Linked DNA regions of Kluyveromyces lactis. The protein of the gene in region 1 purifies or fractionates together with the protein of each later gene. This does not show direct contact. Links are inferred from orthologs where the notes say so. Each region holds a gene or a part of one and is shown on either strand. Other genes may lie near its edges.

What was found.
Region 2: the proteins of LSM12 (region 1) and PBP4 purify together in Saccharomyces cerevisiae (affinity purification with mass spectrometry; 4 studies listed by BioGRID). This does not show direct contact. The link is inferred for Kluyveromyces lactis from reciprocal best matches to the Saccharomyces cerevisiae genes LSM12 and PBP4.

What each region holds. Positions count from the first base shown.
Region 1 is NC_006042.1:2,257,628-2,268,374, forward strand, and holds LSM12 (Lsm12p), read left to right. Parts: upstream 1-7,374; coding exon 7,375-7,932; downstream 7,933-10,747. Other genes in the region: ESBP6 (Esbp6p), read left to right, coding at 1-1,338; SPC98 (Spc98p), read right to left, coding at 1,390-3,870; FAR11 (Far11p), read right to left, coding at 4,183-6,966; TEP1 (putative phosphatidylinositol-3,4,5-trisphosphate 3-phosphatase), read right to left, coding at 8,092-9,393; NRK1 (ribosylnicotinamide kinase), read right to left, coding at 9,658-10,386.
Region 2 is NC_006041.1:123,823-134,243, reverse strand, and holds PBP4 (Pbp4p), read left to right. Parts: upstream 1-9,016; coding exon 9,017-9,442; downstream 9,443-10,421. Other genes in the region: KLLA0_E01321g (uncharacterized protein), read right to left, coding at 1-1,571; KNH1 (Knh1p), read left to right, coding at 2,465-3,250; tRNA maturation protein LHP1, read right to left, coding at 3,515-4,315; PSY3 (Psy3p), read right to left, coding at 4,686-5,312; 1-acylglycerol-3-phosphate O-acyltransferase SLC1, read left to right, coding at 5,753-6,700; FBP1 (fructose 1,6-bisphosphate 1-phosphatase), read right to left, coding at 6,897-7,964; MCH1 (Mch1p), read left to right, coding at 9,732-10,421.

The DNA.
Region 1 (10,747 bases):
TTTTCCACTTGGGGTTGTAATTCGGCGTTTGGTGTGTTTCTAGCATTTTACTTGAACAATTCAAGCTTTCCAGGTGCTAGTAAATATGACTATGCATTAATTGCAGGTATGACTGTATTCTTTGGGCAAGGGTTACCTCCGTTTGTTCTCTTATTTATGAGAATCTTTGGTTTAAAAATTCCAATGTATTTCGGTATTGTGATTATGTGCTTGGGTTTCGTTTTAGCCAGTTATGCTGTGTCATTATGGCAACTATATTTGACTCAAGGTTTCCTTAGTGGCGTCGGCATTTCGTTTATTTTCGCTCCTGCCACTACCGTTTTGCCTGGGTGGTTTCTTAAAAAAAGATCATTTGCAATGGGTTTATCATTGATTGGAACAGGAGCAGGTGGTGTTGCATACTCTCTAGCGGTTAATAAAATGATAGAAAATACCGGTAATCAGAGATTTGCATTAAGAATCCTTGCTATCACTTGCAGCATAACTTGTGTAGTAGCAACCCTTTTGCTACGTCAGAGAGTTCCAATGAAGGCTACTGGGATCAGAAATTGGAAAGCAATCAAGCAACACTGTAATGATATGTTCTCGATGCACATATTCAAAAAATGGACAGTTCAATTAATTGCAATGTGGTTCATGTTTGCATTATTTGGATATACTTTAATGATATTTACTTTATCCTCATACGCTGTTGCTAACGGCTTGACTGCTCATCAAGGTTCCTCGCTAACGGCAATCTTGAACGGTGCCCAAAGTGTAGGTAGACCCTTAATTGGATACACAGGGGATAAAATCGGTAGAACGAATATTACTGTTATGCTAACGTTACTTTTAACAATTTTCATGTTCGGTTTTTGGATCCCTGCTGACAGTTATTCATCTTTAATCGGGTTTTCAATATGTGTCGGTCTATGTATTGGTGTAGCTAATGTTATGAACACCGTGCTAGTTGCTGACATCGTTGGACCGGTAGATTTTTTGCCCGCTTGGGGTTATGTTAACTTGGTGGGCTCTCCATTCATGCTTGTTGCTGAAGTTATTGCACAAGCGTTGACTGAACCCAACTCCAACGACCCATATCTCCACACTCAAATATTTGCGGGATGTTGTTTCGTTGCGGCATTACTCCTTATATTGGGATTGCGGGAGGTGACAGCAAAGATAAAGATAAAAGAAAGACAAACGATAAATTTGCAACGGTTAAAGGATTATGATGATTCAAACTTATCAGAAAAAGACAATAACATCTTGAGAGAAAGAGAGATCAAGTATGATTACTTACTTGGATCAGGCATCAAAAGCTACTTTGCAAGAATGTTTTATCCAATGCATGTATAAAACTCTTTCCACAGAGTCATCTATTCTTTTCTTCCGTCTATAAAAGTAGCATTAGTGAAGTATCTTACTTAGTTTATTTATTTCAGTATTTTCATCCCACTTCAAATCCTTGATATAAGCATTGCATTCATTATCAAAATCCTTCCATTGATCAACCAACTTCTTTGAAATTACATTGAATCTCATTATCGGGTCATGCAAATTTTGGTTAGGATCTAAGTTCATCTGAATGCAAATCTCATGAATGACGTTATTTAGCTCAGAGTAATTTAGCACAAACTCATAACTCATATCCATCAATAAAACCAAAGTAGTTGGATACAGCTGATGAGTGTATGTTCCAAGCGAAGCACCTGAACCTGAATATAAAATTGGATGATTCAAAATATTTGATAAGAATACAGAATGAGCTCTTTTTAGATCCTCAAGATCAAATGAAGAATAGCCGCTAACATCATCTGTCGTAAGTTCTTTGAAGTTTTCGATAAAATGAAGATCAGGTTTTAAAACACCGCTTGAGACTTTTACCCCATTTCTAAGCACTTTAACTTTAACCGAGGAGGTTGGATCGGTATCTTTATGATTTAGATTCGAAAGAAGCTTCCTAAATTCATGTTCAATAATACTCTCGAAACAATATGTTTCAACTTTTTTAGTGAAAGATTGAATCTGATTCTTTAAAACATTGATCATTGAAACTTTATTCAGTAAATCCCTAATAAATGGAACCCTGATGTTCAGCTTTCTAAAAAGTTTAAGAATGGATGAATTTTTTTGCCATTCTTGTTCATAATTGTACTCATTCTTTTTAATTCTCCATAAGAAGTTGAAAATTCTCAGATAATCTCTGCGGCTTCCGTGTTGGTTGATATCCATTACTGTTGAAAGAGGCTGATCCACGAGATAGTCTAATGTGAAAACATCCCAACCCGAAGATCCATGTGCTAATTCCAAAATTCTAGCATCAAGCCTATTCACCAAGAGATTGTTATCTGATTTGTTCAATCTATTTCTCAGAGATGATTGTTGAATTGCGATTTGTAGACACTTCGTTAAATGATGGCTTTCTAAAAGTTGAGAAGGTTGGTTGAAGAGATTTTCCGAGTTTTGAATAATAGAATCAATCACATCGCTTTTACCCATTAGAAGGATATCTTTTAAAAGGTTGAGAGTCTCGAAATAATAAAATTTCGATCGTAATGTGGTGTTGATATAGTGGTTAATTTCACCATATTGCTGGTTAACCAATTCGAAAAATTTGTGATCCATTGAAGGGCCTAATAGCCTATATTGCAATGAATACTTATTTGCAAATTTTCCAATCCATTCAACTTCGCTGCAGCAATGTTCGAGATATCGGAGGGACTTTCCAATAATGTATATTTTTTTGGCCACTAAAGACGGTATAAATTTTGGAATTTTCTGTGGCAAGAATACCAATCCCAATGGTTCTTTCTCGTCATTTTGAACAAAAAAGTCACTACTAACATTTGAATCCAGTTTTCCATCAATCAACCAATCGCATATGTTCTTCATGTAGGGTTGTAAAAGACGCTCTAACGCATCAGATGCAAATTTCTCGAGTACTGGATCACCATTACTTTTTTGTAACTGGCATACAGATAGTAATCCCTCTGCACTGCTTTTTTCAAAGTTTTCAATATATTCCATATATGTCCTTAGTTTTAGTACTTCAGGATAGAGGTGTTGATATGTAAAACATAATGGATCGAGTGGATGTAAGTGGGATGAGAAATTGTTGACGAAATTACTATAATCTCGAAGTTTACTTTGAATCAATGTCAAAAATGCTACTTTTAGTGTACTGGTGGTAACATGTTTTTTAAGATATTCCACTCTAATTTGAAGGTGCAAGTAAAGTAAGCCTGCTTCAACGATATCATGCAACTGTTGGCTTTCTCCGTTCGGAATATTGCTGGGTATTGTGAACTTCTTGTCTTTTAGTTCGAATAAAGTAGAGGGTGTTCCCAACACAAGATAGGGTATACTTTTAACGATATCGGCCCTCGATACCATTGTGCTGAAATATGGATCTGATAAGCTTTGTAATGTAGCATCAGATGAACTATGTTGCCAAGCATTTCCCCCATAGGACCCAATTGACCTTCTGTCCGATACCTTCTCAAAATTCTCAAAAGAATCCGCATAGACGCTTTCCGTTGTTTTCCTTTGTATATTTTCTATCACTTCTTTCGACATTGGTTCTCTCATATCATACAACTCATCGTTTTTGTCTAAAAGTGACAAACATTGCAGTAAATATTTATGTTTTTCTTCCGGACTTGAGAGATGGCACATGATGCCGGCAAACATTTCTAAATGAGACCAACTTTTCATGTCCTGATTGCGTTGCACCATTATTTTTTTATAATATTCCAATACTTTTGTGACATTTTCCTTTGATGATGTTTTGATAGAGTAGTAAAGGTCCTGAATTAATTGCTGAGAATACGCACTGCCAGCAGATGCAGGAAGCATGTGTAGTACACATGTGCCAAATTTTTGGTCCATTATTGTTTTTTCCGTTACCCCACAGTAGAGATAGGGGAAGAGGCTCTTTTTCACATCTTTTACCTTTCACTTTAGCGCACAAATCGTTCTTGTTTGTTGATATTTTCACAAAACAATATCGATCTACTGTTGTTGTATCCAATGATGTAAACATAAAGTGAAAAAGGTTGTGAAATAGTCACGTGATTGACTTTGGTGACCATCACAAGGATTGAAGGAAAGACATATGCAGACATACATGTATACATAATATATATATCAATACAGTACATGTATAATACATTTGTTTAACTTATTATTATGCCATATTTTTTAATAAGGAGCAGAGAGTAGTTCAGCCTCCCTTGAAAAGAAAGAGTTAGAGAATTTGTCATCGTACCCGCAATGTTCCATAGTTCTTTTATAGTGATAGAAATTGTAGAATTGCAGCATGGCCCGTAAAGCAATTTCTTGGCCATAGGAATCGTTGATCTCGCCCGTGATATCCTTCCCTGTTATCCAGTTATCTGTTAAATGAAGTTTCTCATGTAAGAACACTCCAGAAATCAATTCCATATGATCTGCCCTCCATCTTTTATTCTTGAATGGTGCCAATTCGTGAATTATCTTTAATATGGGGTGGTATATGTCCAGATTAAAGATAGAATACAATGCCTTGAATATGTTACTAACATTAAGTGGTAGGTCTTTTAGCCTTTGTGTCTTTTTCCCAGTTATTTTGGATAACACTCGTAATAGATACACCTCGGAATTGAGCATTCGGAGATTTAATCTGTTTGCTTTCTCATTTGCGGTTGATATCTCAAGAGTTTCTTTATATTGAACATTGTATAAAGAACATTCACTCCAAAAAGAATGGGTAGGTTGTAAATGTTTAGAGTAAATTCTGTTTTGATATTGATCAGTAAAAGATTGAAGGATGCCTACGCTTGTCGTAATGAACTTTGAATCGTAAATCAACGAGCAAAGATACTCAAATTTAAGAAAGTGGCTAACCTTAAACCATTTTAAAAGGAGGAAAAGTATGGCAGAACTCGATTCCATTGCAATTTCCTTTGATCTTATAAGTTCCAATTGTGGTTGAAGCTCATTAATTTCTTCTTCAGAAAAATCCTCTTCAAGGTATACTTTGTTTGACATACAAGTTTCAATAGTTTCTAATAGAACATATACTAGAGATGAAAAATGGGGTAAAGCATTAGCATAATAATCTTCGATGCGATTCATGGTTTCAGGTTCCTCATTCTGTATACCTCTATACGTGAATGGGTCCTTCTCATGTACCTCAGTGTTTGTCCATCCTCGTTCTTGCACCATAAATAATTCTCTTTCATGCCATAGTTGTTTAGTAGATAGTTTTATATGCACAGATTTTGACAAAATTTCGATTGCTTCTTGCATGTTATACGGTAACACTGTCTCAGGCACCGCAATACTCAGCTTATTACTAAGTTCGTCTACCACACCAGTATCATAGTCACCAGAGGATGGAAAAAATGCTGGATATGATAAATTGGCTTGAAATGACTTCCTCGTTTTCAATCCGTTGGGCGAGCTTGTGGGTGATGCCGGCTGTGATGGTGCAGGCGTTGCCATATGCACTTGTGGCTCTCCCAACGACATGTTAGAACTGCTCCTCGAACGGGGTCTCGGAATCTCTAAAAATTGTGAAAGAGAATTGGGGTTGTCAAGCATGCTAGGATATGTCGGTTCTGGAAGCTGAGAAGATGGAAATCTTGAGGTGATATCTTCCCTAAAAGCAACATATTCCAATGGAGATATTGAAAGATTCGAAGCAGAGGAGTCTTTCTTTTCAATTTTGTGATGTTGAAGAACAAATCTCTTCACTGCGTCATAATGGCTCTCTTCACCAAACTGTAATAGAAGCACTTTATGGAATAAAATAATGATATTTCTTATTCTCATTGAGAGTCGACTTTTCCAACGCCAATGGTCTATATATTTTGTAAGGAAAAGCATCAAGCCAGATGAATGTACGACATCAATAAAATCTTCTACAGCTTTGGTGTGCATGCTTCTTTGCTCAATAGCTATATTGATCATAAAATAAGTGATTGAACCCGAGTAGAACAAAAGAGTATTATATTGTTGCAAATTAGTGTTCTTCACCCTACAACAATCTGCATGTTTCTTAAAGCAAGGTAAGAGTACCTTTGAAATCATCATCAATAGAGTATTATTCCTCCGTAGAATGTCTAAATGATGGAAATAACTGTTCGTTTCCTGAAAAGTTCCGAAAGAAATATACGCCAGACAAAGCAAGGTATTGATATCCACTGAATTTACCTCTAGCTTTTTACCAAGCTCTGTAATAACTTGAATAGCGTATTTACGCTCTTCGATAAATTTCGAACTATCATAGTTTTTTTCAAAGCTCAACTTTGCAGTCTTTAAGCTCCCATAGTCCTTTTGTATGAACCATTCTGATAGTTCGTGAAATAATGAATTAAAATCGGAAGCCTGCCAATCTAACGTAGGCTTGGTAAATGAATGTGAAAGATCACCTCTTTCAATCTCGTCTGCTTTTTCTTGTAACAACTTCTTTAATGCATCGTCTACTGGTAAATTATTATCTTCTTCAACTTTGACATCCTCATATGTAATTATTTTATCTTTGTCATTCAATTCGGGTGAAACCTTCCTTAGTTGCTTCGGTGATGCTTGTCCGTTAGTATATGAATCATAACCTTGGAAATAATCTTTCAGGCTACCAGAACTAGAACTGGGGGAGATTGGTCCATCGATCTCATCGACATTTGCAAACTCTGAATCCTCATCATCTTCTTCCCCATTAGCATCATCCTGAGTATCAATAATCTCACTGCTATTGTTCGCTTCATTAGATTGTCTATCTGTGCCGTTGTTTTCATGCTGCAATTCATTTGAATCACCCAAATGTAATTTCTTGCTAAGTAAACTATCCAGATCATGGAATAAAGACGTATCCGAAGGGAAAGTCTGGTGTTCATTGGAGAGCTGTTTTGCAAATGGCGGTCTAGCCTGAGTCTTGCTCCTCAAATCTTTAGAAGACAAAGACTTCAATAGCGGAGATCTTGACCGCTGTGTCTCTGGCATTATCGCAATCCACAAATAATATTGGATTCCTTTCTATCTCTCAAATTGAATAATCGTTAATTCAATGTTGAAAAGAAAACAGCTCTTCAAGCCGCTATCAATAGAAAACCACGGGAGTAGTTCAGGCAATACCTCGCAATGTATTTGAACCACAAAAGTAACGTTTTCTAAAAAGTTTAAGTGTATAGTTGCAAACGTTCTTATTCTAACATGTCTGATTGAATGCGATGCTACTTTTTTTTGGATTTTGAGTAACTATTCAAATGCCTGAAAAATGTGATACACACAAATTAAAACTGAAAATCTGTAAGAAACAAATCGAATTTGACTCGTGATGTTCAATCGTGGAAGAGTGACCAGCAAGCTTTTCTGGCCGAAGCCGCTAGTTTATATTTGATTGCAAACTAAATGAGCATTTCTCTGGAGAATATTCTTGGCCTCAAAGTTAAAATTACTGATGTTTTAGACCATGTAACGCAAGGAAAAGTGTATTCATTCAACTCAAATAATGACACCATCACTTTGATTGTGGGCAAGAAAAATAAAGCATACACATTTGAGATCATTCAGACCTCATTTATCAAGCATCTGGAACTAGTAGGAGAGAAGGCTAATCCGTCTAGTTTCAAGAAAGATCATGTAAAACCGTCATACGTTGATCTCGATAGAGTGAAAAATGCATTGGCTAAGACAATAGACACAGCTGCTAAAAAGGAAATGTCAATTGGAAAAAATGTTTCCTATGAGGGTCAATTTATATTTGATCTCATTCATAAGACTATATCAGATATAGTATGGAAGGGAAAATCCATTGTCGTTCTTGATGAGCTGGAAATAAATCCGCCGTATCAGCTTGGTAGCATTAAACCATTGCAAGGCAGAACTGATGTCAAATCAAAAGAGTTGATAGATAAGATTGTTGAATCTGCATGGAATAAATTAGAGAACGAAAGAAAAGGCGGATGATGCCGGATGTCAATGTAAAAATATATAGTTTATTTATTTACAGATTAAAATTTAACTTATTTCGTTCGGAATTAAAACTGGATAGAATACACATCGCCTTAGATGATGCCCACTAGGAGCAATCTCTAGCTTGTCCTTCGATTAACGTCACTCCGAATTTCAAAGTAACATCCACCGGATAGAAATTGAATCGAATAATTTAAGACCTTTCCCAGAGGTTCCTTTAAACCCATCAAGTTCCTCCCATGGAATATAAAACTCAAATCGTTCATTCTTAGGTAAAATGTAGTTGGAGTCATTATCAAGGTTCTTTGACTGAAGCACAGATTCCCAATAAAGATTTAACCAGCAACTTGAAAAAGAGCTTAGGTGAGAGACGTTGTTTATAAATTGCGAGGTCTTTGAACGGATTCCAAATGATAAACGGATATCTGAGAAAGTTACGTTGATATTTGGAACTATTATTTGCTTTGAAGTTAACGACCTTAATGATCCCTTGCCTGTAGAACACTGCTTGGAGAATAAATCGATAAGACCCGATTTTCCACTTGAGTGACTTTGTATCTTAATGGATACTGTTGTATTATTGGCCTTTTTCAAGAATTCCGAGCTATATTGACCAATTGAATTTGTAAACTCGATTGACAAAATCTTGAATTCGATGGTAGAAAGGTTCTTTATTATTTCTTCTCGTTGTTTAGCTTCGTATCGGAGAAACATTTCTTGGTACTTGAGATAACGTAGTTGAGAAGCTATGGTAACTCCTTTACTGATGCCTGTCTTAAACCTAGTGCTCAGAAAAAGAGATTGTGCTTCATGACGGGGGAGCTGCAAGTATGTCATCAAATATGCGACTACCAGAGTGCCCGATCTCCCTTTGCCCATTTTACAGTGAATAACAGCTACTTTCCCCCTTGAGACAGTATCTCTTATATCGTCTATTAAGTTCTGAAGATGCAAAAAAGATGGTGGTGAATGATCAATCCATCCAGCTCTCAACAAGTGAGATTTCACAGAAATTGGTGGTTTTACTATTTCATCTGCATTAGATCTGAATAGTAATTTGATTCCGGAAACATTGCAATGGTCTTCGAGCATTTTTCTGGATCTAAAAGTGGAAGTAATTTTTTCACTCTTACCAGCTGGTGGGGTCACATGTTTTGATTCCAATACCATGGCAAAATCGTCATCAGTGTAGTCTGAATCATTCATTTCCGCCTTCAAATTGTAGATTTTCCAGTTCTTTCTGCCATGATTCGCATCCAAATACGTGACAAGATCAACGAGACTGTTGCGATAAAACATTTTGGGATACTTCATTACAGGATATGAGCAAACAATGATGTTGTCAGTAACATACGAAACATCCAAAACTAATCCCATATTATTCTTATATTGATTGAAAGGGGAGCTGTAGATTGATTTGATGATGTGCTCCGGATTAAATTTCGATAAAGTCATTTTGAATACTTTCAGTACAATTATACTTGGTGAAGATCTTAGTAACGTCAAAGCGATTGTCCAAAATTTGGCCGACTTTGAATTTATAGATGTAGACCAGTCTATTTAATACTGGTGGTGGGGAAGTTGTAAATGAGTTTGAATTGCTAGTTTTCTTAAATGCAACATTTGTGTCACTTCAGAAAGTACTTGACAACAGTGCGACAAAAAAAAAATAAGAAAAAAAAAAAACAGGAAAGACAAGTATCAGGTAGAATAGTTATATTATTCCAGTAATGAACTCGCATTTAATGTTTCAACGATGTGATCAGCAATTGCGTTTAGCGCATCTGATATGTTGATATCATCATCATTTTTCAGTTCGAAGAGCCCTGTATTCCGTTTAAGCTGTCCTTCAATGTCTTCATCTTCGAACATATACTTATGTTCGTTCCTGTAAGATTTGTAAACAAATTCATCAAAGTAGTATGGTGGATCAACCCAATATGAATCTATAGTCTTGTATCCAGCTCTTGCATTTCTTCTCTTTTTCAAAACTTCGTATGGAGCTCGAACAAATATTTTGATGTCAAACTTCTTTGTTAGCTCTTCATCGTTAAATATCATGAACCCATCAACCAATACAATCTTAAGATCAGAATTTTGCACGATAGCATATTTCCTCTTAAGAGAATCCCAATCTTCTGGTGATATATCAAACTTTGTTATGTCATCAACGTTATCGTTATGAATCAATTTACTTTTGATTAAGCCAGTTTCTTTTATTTGATCCAACTCTCTTTTAAATGCAGGTATATCCAATGCCTCTGGACAGTCCCAGTCGGCAATCTGATATTTTTCGTTTAGTGGAATTTGCGCATCAGGCTTATAGAAGTCATCTTCGTGTAATACACTACTTCTAGGGATTGCATTCGATGTTAGCTTGGTTAAGGTGGTCTTACCCGATGATGAACATCCACTTATCGCGATGAGAACCAATTTAGAGCTAGTCATTCTTTTCTCCTAAAATAGTGGGTTTAAGTTGATACCGCTTACTTCGTACGATGTAGGGAATAAGGAAGTAAATATGTCCCAAGGAGCTACCTCAATTTTCCCTACAAATAGCTTATGTGACGCTTTTCATTGTCTTGTTTGGAAGATATGTTGGATCTTTCTTATCTATTGTCCTGGCTTTCAATTTTTCATGCGAAACCATTTTTGAATTTTGTCAATAAATTTTGAGAAAGTTAACAATCCTGCAAGACTTTATATGATAAATTCGCAGAAACTTGGTACATGAGAAGGCAATATAGGTTATTTTGCCCTACTTAACAGCTTTGTGGAACCCTCCAACTGAATCGATATCTGAAGCATC
Region 2 (10,421 bases), on another chromosome or scaffold:
GGGAAAGTTCCGAAAGCCATACCAAATGCAAATCCAAATAATACCGAAGATAAGGAGATATTGTGCAAATTGCTCGATGTTGTGGAAGTATCAGGATCAAGAGAAATCAATTTTCTAGACGCGATGATACTCAGAACAGCAGAAAAAGTGATTATCCATAGACGCTGAGAATGGAACTTCTTAACAAGGAGATCTGAAACAATCCCTGATAAAAATCTGGCACCAAAAGACATTACCGAAATTAATGATACTTGTAGTGACAGATATTCTTCTTGGTTCCAGCTCGAAGGATCATCACTCGATTGGATTTGAGTAGTCACCACAAATCCAACTGCAAAAATGTACATCTGACCAATACCCTGCAACGTTGCCAAAGTGAATAAATAGGCAAAAAACCGTGGTTTTGATAAATTTTTCAATACAGGATGTTCATTCCACCAGCTTTGTTTATTCTCTGTAGAAATAGTTTCAATCTTTGAAGTTTGTATATTTATTTCATGGGAAACATTATCGATATTGGGTTCTGGAAAGTTATTGGATGCCAATACGGTTGAATTCTGGGACTGGTCTTGAGACAAAGATTGTCTCCTTTGAGTTGGGTTTACATCAATTGTGAAACTTGTCCTTGCATTTCTTTTAGGGTGATAAGGAAATAGTGCACTATCACTCGGTCTTGCTCTACCTATACCCCAAAATTGTAAAGATCCAACCAAATCTTTTGTCCAGGAAGAGACAGAATCGCTTCTCCTTAGGGAAAATAATGTAGTGGATGAAGACTGTTTCATAGCAGCAGCAGTTGGTGATGAAGAATCAGCAGATCCTGTTGCAAAGGCATTGTAAGTCACTGAAGACATAGAACCACGTTTTGCATTGATAACATTAATTGGTTTTGAATGATAAGTTTCGTCCAAAAGTGAAGGCGACTCGTTTTCTGCTCCAGAATCATCTAGTGCCAGTAATGCGTCCTCAGAAGATTCAACTTTATGGACATGGTCTTCCTCGATGATTCTGAAGGTCATACAACCAATAAGTGCAGTAGAAGTACAAACAATAATCAAGAACAAAAACACGGATTGTATATCGTCTTTAAACAAACTCGAACACAGAAGCGAAAAGACTAATCCTGACAGTGCATACTGAGATATGGGGAACGCTCCTGCAGCACCTCTATGGTTAGGAAAATTTGCAGTACAACATTTCATAGCTGCATAAAAAGAGCAAATGGAACCAAACCCAATCATCACCAAAGCTACGAAGATCAAAAAAACGCTGCTATATTCATAAGTGTAACAAAAGTAAAGAGTAGAATATGCAAAAAATGTAAGAAAGGCCCCAATTCCGGTGGCCAAACTGGGCGAATGGTCTATTATCATTCCTGCGAAAACACCCATCGCACTCATCCCTAAAGACATGGCAAAGGAGAAATCACTAGATCTTTCAATGTCAAGATGGCATTTTTTGAGCAACTGTGGTGCATAGAAACTGTACATATACGGTGTACCAGACCCCAAAGCTACCACATTTGCACCAATAAATATTGAAGCCAATTGGTACTTGGAAGCAGGAGTCATCTTTAATTAATTATTACTGCCACCAATGTGAAAGTTTGACCAATCTTAATCTTCTGCACTTTACCAGCTCTGTAGTTAACAGTTCTGTAGCGGTACCCACAAAAGTGATTCACTTCTGTGTACCTCACGATCTTAAATTGAAGAGCCCAAAATATCAAGGACATGGTTGCTTAAATATGTAGATGCTGCCAACTCTCTGATTTTGACATTTTTCGAATCTCGAGACAATTCGCAGGTCACCATAATTGATAACGAACTAACGCAAGGAAAAACATGGGGTTGACCGAGTACAAGAGGAAGATTTTAGCAGTATTATGACGCTGAGTGGCCTCTCCTGGTGATAGTCATTTTGCGGACACAGGAGTTGATGTTTCTCTATGTTGAACCTGTCTGTTTTTACGAATAATAGATCATGTGACTTATGTAATTGTTGCGAAGCAACCATATGTAGGAAACCGGTGAACAACGTCTATGCAATACGGCATGATTGAGACCATTCTGGACGAAAGTTACTTCACATTTATCATGTAACATGTCTTGGAAGTGCTAATATTGCTTGTTATGTTTTTTTTGCTCCATTTCCTATGTCTCTTTGCTAAGTTCCCATGGCCAGACATCGATTTTTTTAAGAAATTGTTTCTAGAACTCAAATCACATTTCAATTATATATATTTGGGACTTTCACGGCGAACAAGTTTCTCAGATCAAGAAGGTATAAAAGACCGTAAAGACCTGTGGCCAGTATTGAACTACGTGGCATAGAAAGTGTTTCTTCATACTACTACAACATAACGGTAACTGACGAGTAGTAAGCGTGTGTGTGGCATTATCATTGAATCATTTAGGGTCCAGAGATTCAAATCAGCATTTGAAAAATAAACAATATACATAGAATGAGACTACTGGTATTACTGCTGTTGTACGTCTGTAAAGTTCTAGCTGATGTTTCTGTCACGGTTCCAAAACCAGGTTCTTCTTACGCTGCTTCTGGTGGTGAAGTCGAAATTGAAATCCAATGGACTGACGACGAGACGACCCCACTGTTAGATGAGATCATCGAGTACAAATTCGTCTTATGTACTGGTTCGGATTCTAATATCGTACCTGTTGACACTTTGGGTCCATTCAAGCCTTCCGAGGTGAGTGATTACAAGTACCAAGCCAGTTTCCCAGCCACCACGGCCCCAGACGGGACATATTTCATTCAGATCTACGCCGCGTATAAGGAAGGATACACGATTCATTACAGTGGTCGTATGAAATTGTCAGGTATGGACGGTACCTTGAGTGTCAGTGCAGAATCTGTGACTGACACTGATGGTCCTCCAAAGCAGATATCTCTTGATGCGGCTTCAGTAGATACAAGATCTTTCACTATTCCATATACCAAACAAACGGGTATTTCCAGATTTGCTCCAATGCAACAACAACCGGGTTCTACTGTAACTTTGGAGACTTGGTCAAGAAGATACGCGACAAGTGCGGTGTCTTACTTCCCTTCGCTGATCAATTCTTTGCAGCAAAAAACCACCATCACCCCAGGTTGGTCATACACAAGACCTTCAGATTACAACTATGCAACCCCTGCACCATTCCCCACCGAGAATGGTGGATGGTACGATCCTAAAGACAGACAGACTATGAGTGTTAGGAAATTGAATGTGAAGAGAGCTATTTGAATGATAAGAATCGATACAAGTGACAATTTCCATTCTAGTCTTTAAACAAAAAACATTTATGGGTAAACTTTATATTTTTCTTCTTAAAAACTTAATATATGTCATTATTTATCATATATAAGTGTGTGTATTTATTATTTCGTTAAACCTCTTTTCTTGGAGATTCCATTGGTATCCATCCTCTTACAATTTACTGGCAAAGAGTTCGATTGACACCGGAAAAAAGAGCTTTAGAATAACAATATGAGAATAGCCCGGACTGCCTTAAGCAGTTTCTGTGGCACTTTCTTCCGATTTCTTCTCAGTTGGAGCATTGGCATCTCCTTCACTGAGCTTTGATTCAGAACTGGCTTCAGGAGTTTCGTCATTAGTCTTTGGGATGTTCTTCCTGTAACCAGTTAATGATCTTGTCTTTTGACCAGAACCACCGAAATTCTTTGATCTAGTTGCATTCTTGGCGAGGCTGTATTGCTTCTTAGTGACAACTTCCAATGGTTGTCCCTGATATGAGAAATCGGTCTTGTGTTCCTCAAAGAATTTGACACATTCCTCCTTCGTCTTGAATTCGACTTCGACAACACCGTTGAAGTATTTCTTATGGTCCTTCTTCAAACGAACTTGGTTAACAGTGGTGAACCCATTGAAGAACTTCTCTAGTTCTTCTTGTAATTCTAGGAATTTATCTTTATCTTCATTTTCGATCTTCTTAAAGTTCATAAACACTAACACTCTTTCGTTCCTGTCCTTAAAATCAACTGTCTCTAATGGACTCTTTCTACGCACATTTTCACCATCAGCGCTAACCTCTAGAATCGTCGAGTCCTTTAAACAATCAACAACTTTGTCGACAGGTCTATACTTTTTCATTCTGTTGAAAGACGCAAGTGTCGTAATTGGAATCCATCCGTCATTCTGTTCGCATAGAGAGCGTAAAAATTTATCGTAGGGCAAATTATATTCACTGAAGTAGAATTCCACTTGTTTGCGGCAAGCCTGAGACACCTCAGGAGTGAAATCGATTGGGGCATAAGACCCACGACGACGGATCTCTTGGGAAAATGACATTGTTTCCAGTATAACTTGTTATGAGAAGTGCGATTCGATTCTTTACGGCTATGATCCAAACAATCCAATAGACAGCTAGATAAATGACCACAAACAATAGGGAAAAAGCCTTAAACTTTAACCCAGTTCTGAAAGGAAATGGAAGCTACAATGCACAAAGACAAGGATGTTAACAGTATCGATTAGAACCTGTATCATAACTTCAATTGGAATGTCATTTCGTAATTCTTTAACGTTTTTCCATGTTCAAAAATGCATGAAAAAAAAAAAAAATTGTTTGGTGTAGACAGAACCATGTCCTTTTGCCATGCAGAGATGAGAAGATCACATAGTAGGGCAACACGGTTTCTAGCACAGCGTTTTGTAGAGCTTATAGGATAATGTCGGATTCATTGAAATAGGGTAACAGACGGTCACCACTTGCACATTTTGTTGATTGATGTTTAAACGTGCTTTCTATACCACCATGGAACGATAAGGGCAAACTTGTAGAGATAACGACAGAACCGAAAGTCTGTTGTACGAGTCTAATTGATCTGTTGAGCAACTTGGCGTCGAATTTGGGGTCCATGGATAAGTGCGACAAATTATCAATGAGGACCCATGCCAACTGCTTCGATGTAGACGTTTCCGAATTCTGCGGTTGGCATCTAGACAATGCGGTCACGGGATCTGTACATAATTGAGACATAAATTGAATAAAGGAATCGAACTGAAGCATGGAAAGATTAGTCTGTTGGAATTCCGGGTATGTTTCGAGCAAGTCATTGTCGTTGTGGTCGTTCCGGGGCATCGAAGAAATGTTCAAGATTAGTCCGTTCCCCTCACATTGTTCGCGCACTGTGTTCACTATGGTTCTTGTTTTACCGTTTCCTCGCAGAGATTCCTGTACGACGTGAATCCTGGTACATTTCTTACCGTTGACTTCGCATGTATACTGGTATGGACTTGTAAATTGGTCCAAAGAGTACACTTTGCACCTTGACACAACGTTCATTTAATTTTCGCTACGTCGTTTGCTACTTGAACACAGATTTCAAATGCCCTCAATTGTTATCCAGGTGCTCTGTTCCTTTATTTGATGGTGATGATTTCACTAAATACATGGATCATATCCAGGATTATTTAGTTTGCAAATTCACAGTTCTAACTGGATCTGTCTGGTTTTAACAGATAATTGATTGCTGCCGATTCCGCTATCACGAAACTTTCTGGGTATGTTCGTTCCAACTGTTGTTACAATGTTGAGTTTCATCTCGTTCTCGTTCTTTTTTTTAAAAAATCTCACAAGATTGAAATAGTTTCTCGAATAATAATACCAACAAAAAACAGTCGAAAAATCATTGCATAAGGTACCAATAGTACACTCAGTTATTTGTTGATTCTATTACTGTGTGAGCAGTGGGAAACATTAAACAAAATCCATTTAATTCAGCTATGGGTTTTTTCAGCAAAATAGTTTTCTGGGGGAAGTCTGTCATTGCAGTTACACTTTTATCATCGTGTGCATTGTATGGTGTGCTTGCATCGATTGTATTTTCATTAATTGGTAAAAAGCATTTGGCGCAATGGAGTACTGCTCGCTGTTTCTATGGAGTGATGGGTTTCATCATGGGTATTAAGATTAATTTGATCAATGGTGAAAGATTGAACGATTTGCCAGCTATTTTTATCTCGAACCATCAATCTGAATTGGATATCCTAATGCTGGGTAGAACTTTCCCACCTGGATGCACAGTTACTGCTAAGAAACAGATAAAGTGGGTTCCCTTACTGGGTTGGTTTATGAGTCTTAGCGGTACTTTGTTCTTGGATAGATCTAGCAGAGAAAAGGCCATCAAGGTCTTAAATGACTCTTTGGCCAACCTAAAGAAGGATAAAAGGGCCCTCTGGATTTTCCCTGAGGGAACTAGATCTTATTCTACAAAGCTAGAACTATCAGCATTTAAGAAAGGTGCTTTCCATTTGGCGCAACAGGGGAAAATACAGATAATCCCTGTTGTTGTATCAAACACTAGTTCCATCTATCACCCCAGGTCTGGAGTCTTTAACAGGGGTACCATAACAGTCAAGGTTCTTGAGCCAATTAGCACGGAAAATTTGAAGAAAGAAGACGTAGGTGATCTATGTAACCGTGTTCACAAGTTGATGAACGACGAGCTGAAAAATATTGGATACTCCGAAGCCATCGTGGATACCGTTTTACCTGCAGATGTGATCGCGTATAACTCTGCCAGACGTTTTGAAGATCAGCATCGTTTGACTGCAGATGATTACGAAGAGGAAATAGTTGACCTGGACCGTTCTTCTATTCACTCTAATGGGACTGTTGTGACCAATCCAGAACCCACTGAACGTAGTAGTTTACTCAAAGAAGTTATTTAGAGAATATAAATAAGAGATTCTTACTTTTTATATTTAACAGTACTTTCTATAATACAAGAGAATGTATGATAAATGTAAATACTGGAATCGTGAAATAGTTATTCAAGGTCGGTTATTAATTTATTTTTAATGTGGTATTTCATGAATTATTATGTTACTTAATTTTCTTCTGTTGATGGGAGGTTCGTATACGTATTTACAACTTACCGATATGCTTTAAATATTTATCAACGTCTCCAGAGCTACCTAACCAGATACTGCTTTTGTCGTGAATATGTTGAGGGACCAAATCCAAGATACGTTCACCTCTATCATTAACGGCTTTACCACCAGCTTGTTCAACAAGGAAAGCCATTGGGAATGCTTCATATAACAATCTTAACTTCCCGTTAGGATTTTTCTTATCACCTGGGTAAGAGAATAAACCACCATATAGTAAAGTTCTGTGTACGTCAGCGACCATTGAACCGATGTAACGAGCAGAGTAAGGCTTACCGTTATTTTCTTCGCTGTTTTCCTTCAACTTGGCAATGAAATCAGCGATAGTTGGTTCCCAATAGCAGGTGTTCCCCTCATTGATGGAGTAAATAGATTTTTGCTCAGGTAGTCTCAATTCTGGGTAAGTCAAGATAAATTCACCCAAGTTATTGTCCAAAGTGAACCCATTGACACCTGCACCGGTAGTTAAAACCAAATGCGTGGACGCACCGTACATAGTGTAACAAGCAGCAACCATTTCTCTACCGCAACGAGCAACATCGTTGATGGTACCCTCACTATCTTCTTCCCCAGAGTTACCATTCTGATTCTCATGAATCTTGAACAGAGAGACAATGGTACCCACTGAGACACCAGCATCCAAGTTAGACGAACCATCAATTGGGTCACAACATACCGCGTATTTACCAGGGCTGTTACGGAAAACGATCAAATCTTCTTGTTCTTCAGACACAAGTACCTTGACGTTACCAGACGCTTTCATAGCATTGATGAAGATTTCATCACCCAACACATCCAACTTCTTTTGCTGGTCACCGGTACTATTTGAAGCACCAGCCAATCCGATCAAGTTAACCAATTCAGCACGTCTAATTGTTTGAGAAATAAATTTAAATGCAAACTGCAAAGAGTTCAAAAGCATAGAAAACTCCCCAGTGGCATTTTTCGCAGAAAGATGCTGTTGGTCCAAGATAAAACGGGACAACGTGATGATGTCGGTATTGATAGACTCAGCTGAGTCTCTTCTGTGTTTAATACCAGCCATTTATTAATTATTTAATCGGGATATGCGAAGCTTCGGAAGGGAAATGAATTGAATAGTCTTCTTTCTACTTGATTATGCCTTTAATTTGAAACTAATGCTCGAATCCAATAATAAGTCATAAAGTGCTGAAGAGGATCGAAATCATAAAACTGGTTTGAATCCAATTTATATACACTAAAATAAGGATCAAACAGACAATATACACGACTTACATCCATACGCAAGTAGCGGACAACGCAACGGATTAATTCGGAAAATTCTACCCCCGAAGAAACCAACGAAGCCAGTTCATTACTCTGTCTGATATCGATTATCTGGTCTCTGAATTTCTTCTAGCTTTGAAAAATCGCAAGAACCGCACCATTTCTGGCGCGAAGGAAACAAAAGAAAAACAGAATGAGAAAAGCTCGCTATGGACGCAGTATGGCACGTAGTGTGCTAAGGCATTTCCTAGTCACTTGAAACAGAACATGATTTGCAAGTACTATTTGATTATGTGTTTTCTGTAGCGATTTAAGGTGATTTTGCTCATAACACTGAGAGGGAAAATAAAAAAAAAGGTTTTATTGATCTTCAAATTAAATGAATCTGGGGTCATATATCGTGATGTGTGGGTTCATTGGAGCTCCGGGAACATGTTTTCGTCTTTGGTTTTCCAATTTCTGCCAGTGCTGTATCGGTAGTGGGGGGGAACCAGAGGGGCGACCGGGAGAATTTATGTATGTGTGGTTGATGGGTGTTTGACAAGTAGATTTAAATACCGTGATATTACCCGGATATCTCGTGAAAAGTAACTGAGATCCGTCCAAAAATTCGGGTCACGTGTTCTGGTCTACTGCAATAAGAAAATCTAACATGAAGAAGCGATTTCGGCATATTCCTTTGATCAGTTGTAACAATCGTCAAGGTAGAGCGGAAGTAAGCTCCATCAAATCGTTCCTTGTGTACACGATTGTATTTCCATAGGATCTCTCTTTCGCCGTCTGGTAACGTACTTTTCCGTTGGGAATAAATAGAATTATCCATCCGGTTTTCCTATACACTGCTTAACAATGGCTAATGCTTGGCAAAGTAAGAAACTTGGTGCTTGGGGAAGTGAAAGCTCTGCGTTGAAAAAAAAAAGTATGGCATATACGACCGCTTCTCCCACTTCTGCTTCAGCCATTCCTACTCCAGTAACAAGTGAAAATACCAGTAGAAGTAGTATCTCTTCGCAGGACTCACGCAGTAACAAGAAAAAAAATAACAACAGCAATGGGCAGAATTCCCAAACGAACCAAGCATCATATGTTCATTCTAAACCACCGTTCAACCACGATGAAGTGAAACAGTTCCTGATATCACAATTCGAACAGTACTCTAGGTCATCTGTGACCCTGACTACGGATGATTCTACAGATTGGAATACTTCTCAGTCGAAAACATGGAAATCAAAAAAATATGGGTGTTTGTCCGAACTTGAGCGCGTTCTAAGATAAATTTTGCATGGCAGTAAAAAGCTCCTTCCCTCATCTACATGTGAACGTCCTTACAGTGTATATGTATATAAAAACACACTTCATTCACAACTTTTACTGGTAATGACGGTTTTCTCTACCAAAATTTCAAAAAGTTAAAAAAGAAAGCTAGAACACTTATAGGACGATGTAATACACGTAATTTTTGATCTACTTGATAATGAAAAGGTCTCGGAATCCACCTGGTAACCCATCTTTGCATGCCAAAAAACACAAGCAAGGGCGTCAGGGCTAGAAAAATTCCGTTCATATGAGATTATCAAATATCGAGCATTGGCTCACCTATCATATTCGAACATGGCTTTCAAATTCATTCGAATGGTCCACCATTCATAATTCAACATTCATTATATCTTTATTCTCATCCATTTCTGCTGGGCTTTTTTCTATGATTTCGGTATATGCAGTACCGTGGGAATTAAGGTTAGGATACTCTTCACTTGACGTTAATTTACTTTATGCTGCAGGGAATTTAGGAGCTTATTTGACTCCTCCATTATTAGGTATATTATCCGATTCTCACGGCCCTGTGATATTAAGTTGGCTTTCCTTCATTGGTTTCGTTCCCAGCTATTTATACCTATCTTGTGTTTTCCAGTTGGGATCCGATCCATGTTTTGCCCTCTCCGTAGTGGCATTTGCAATTGTTGGAATCGCTACCAGTTCGCTGTACTTTTGCGCTTTAATTACTTGTGCAAAGCTGTACCCCGATACAAAACTATTGTCAATCAGTTTCCCCACGACATGTTTTGGATTATCCTCCGTAATTGGGTTGCAGGTAATTAAATTACCATGGTTCCATTCTAAAGAGGACGGTTACCTAGATCTTGCTGTTGTCTTTAAATCGTTCGCTGTCTTCTACACGTTTGTATTTTTGTTGACATGGATTTCCACTAGTACGATTTCTATCATTAAGCTTCGTGGTTCTCAATCTCCATCA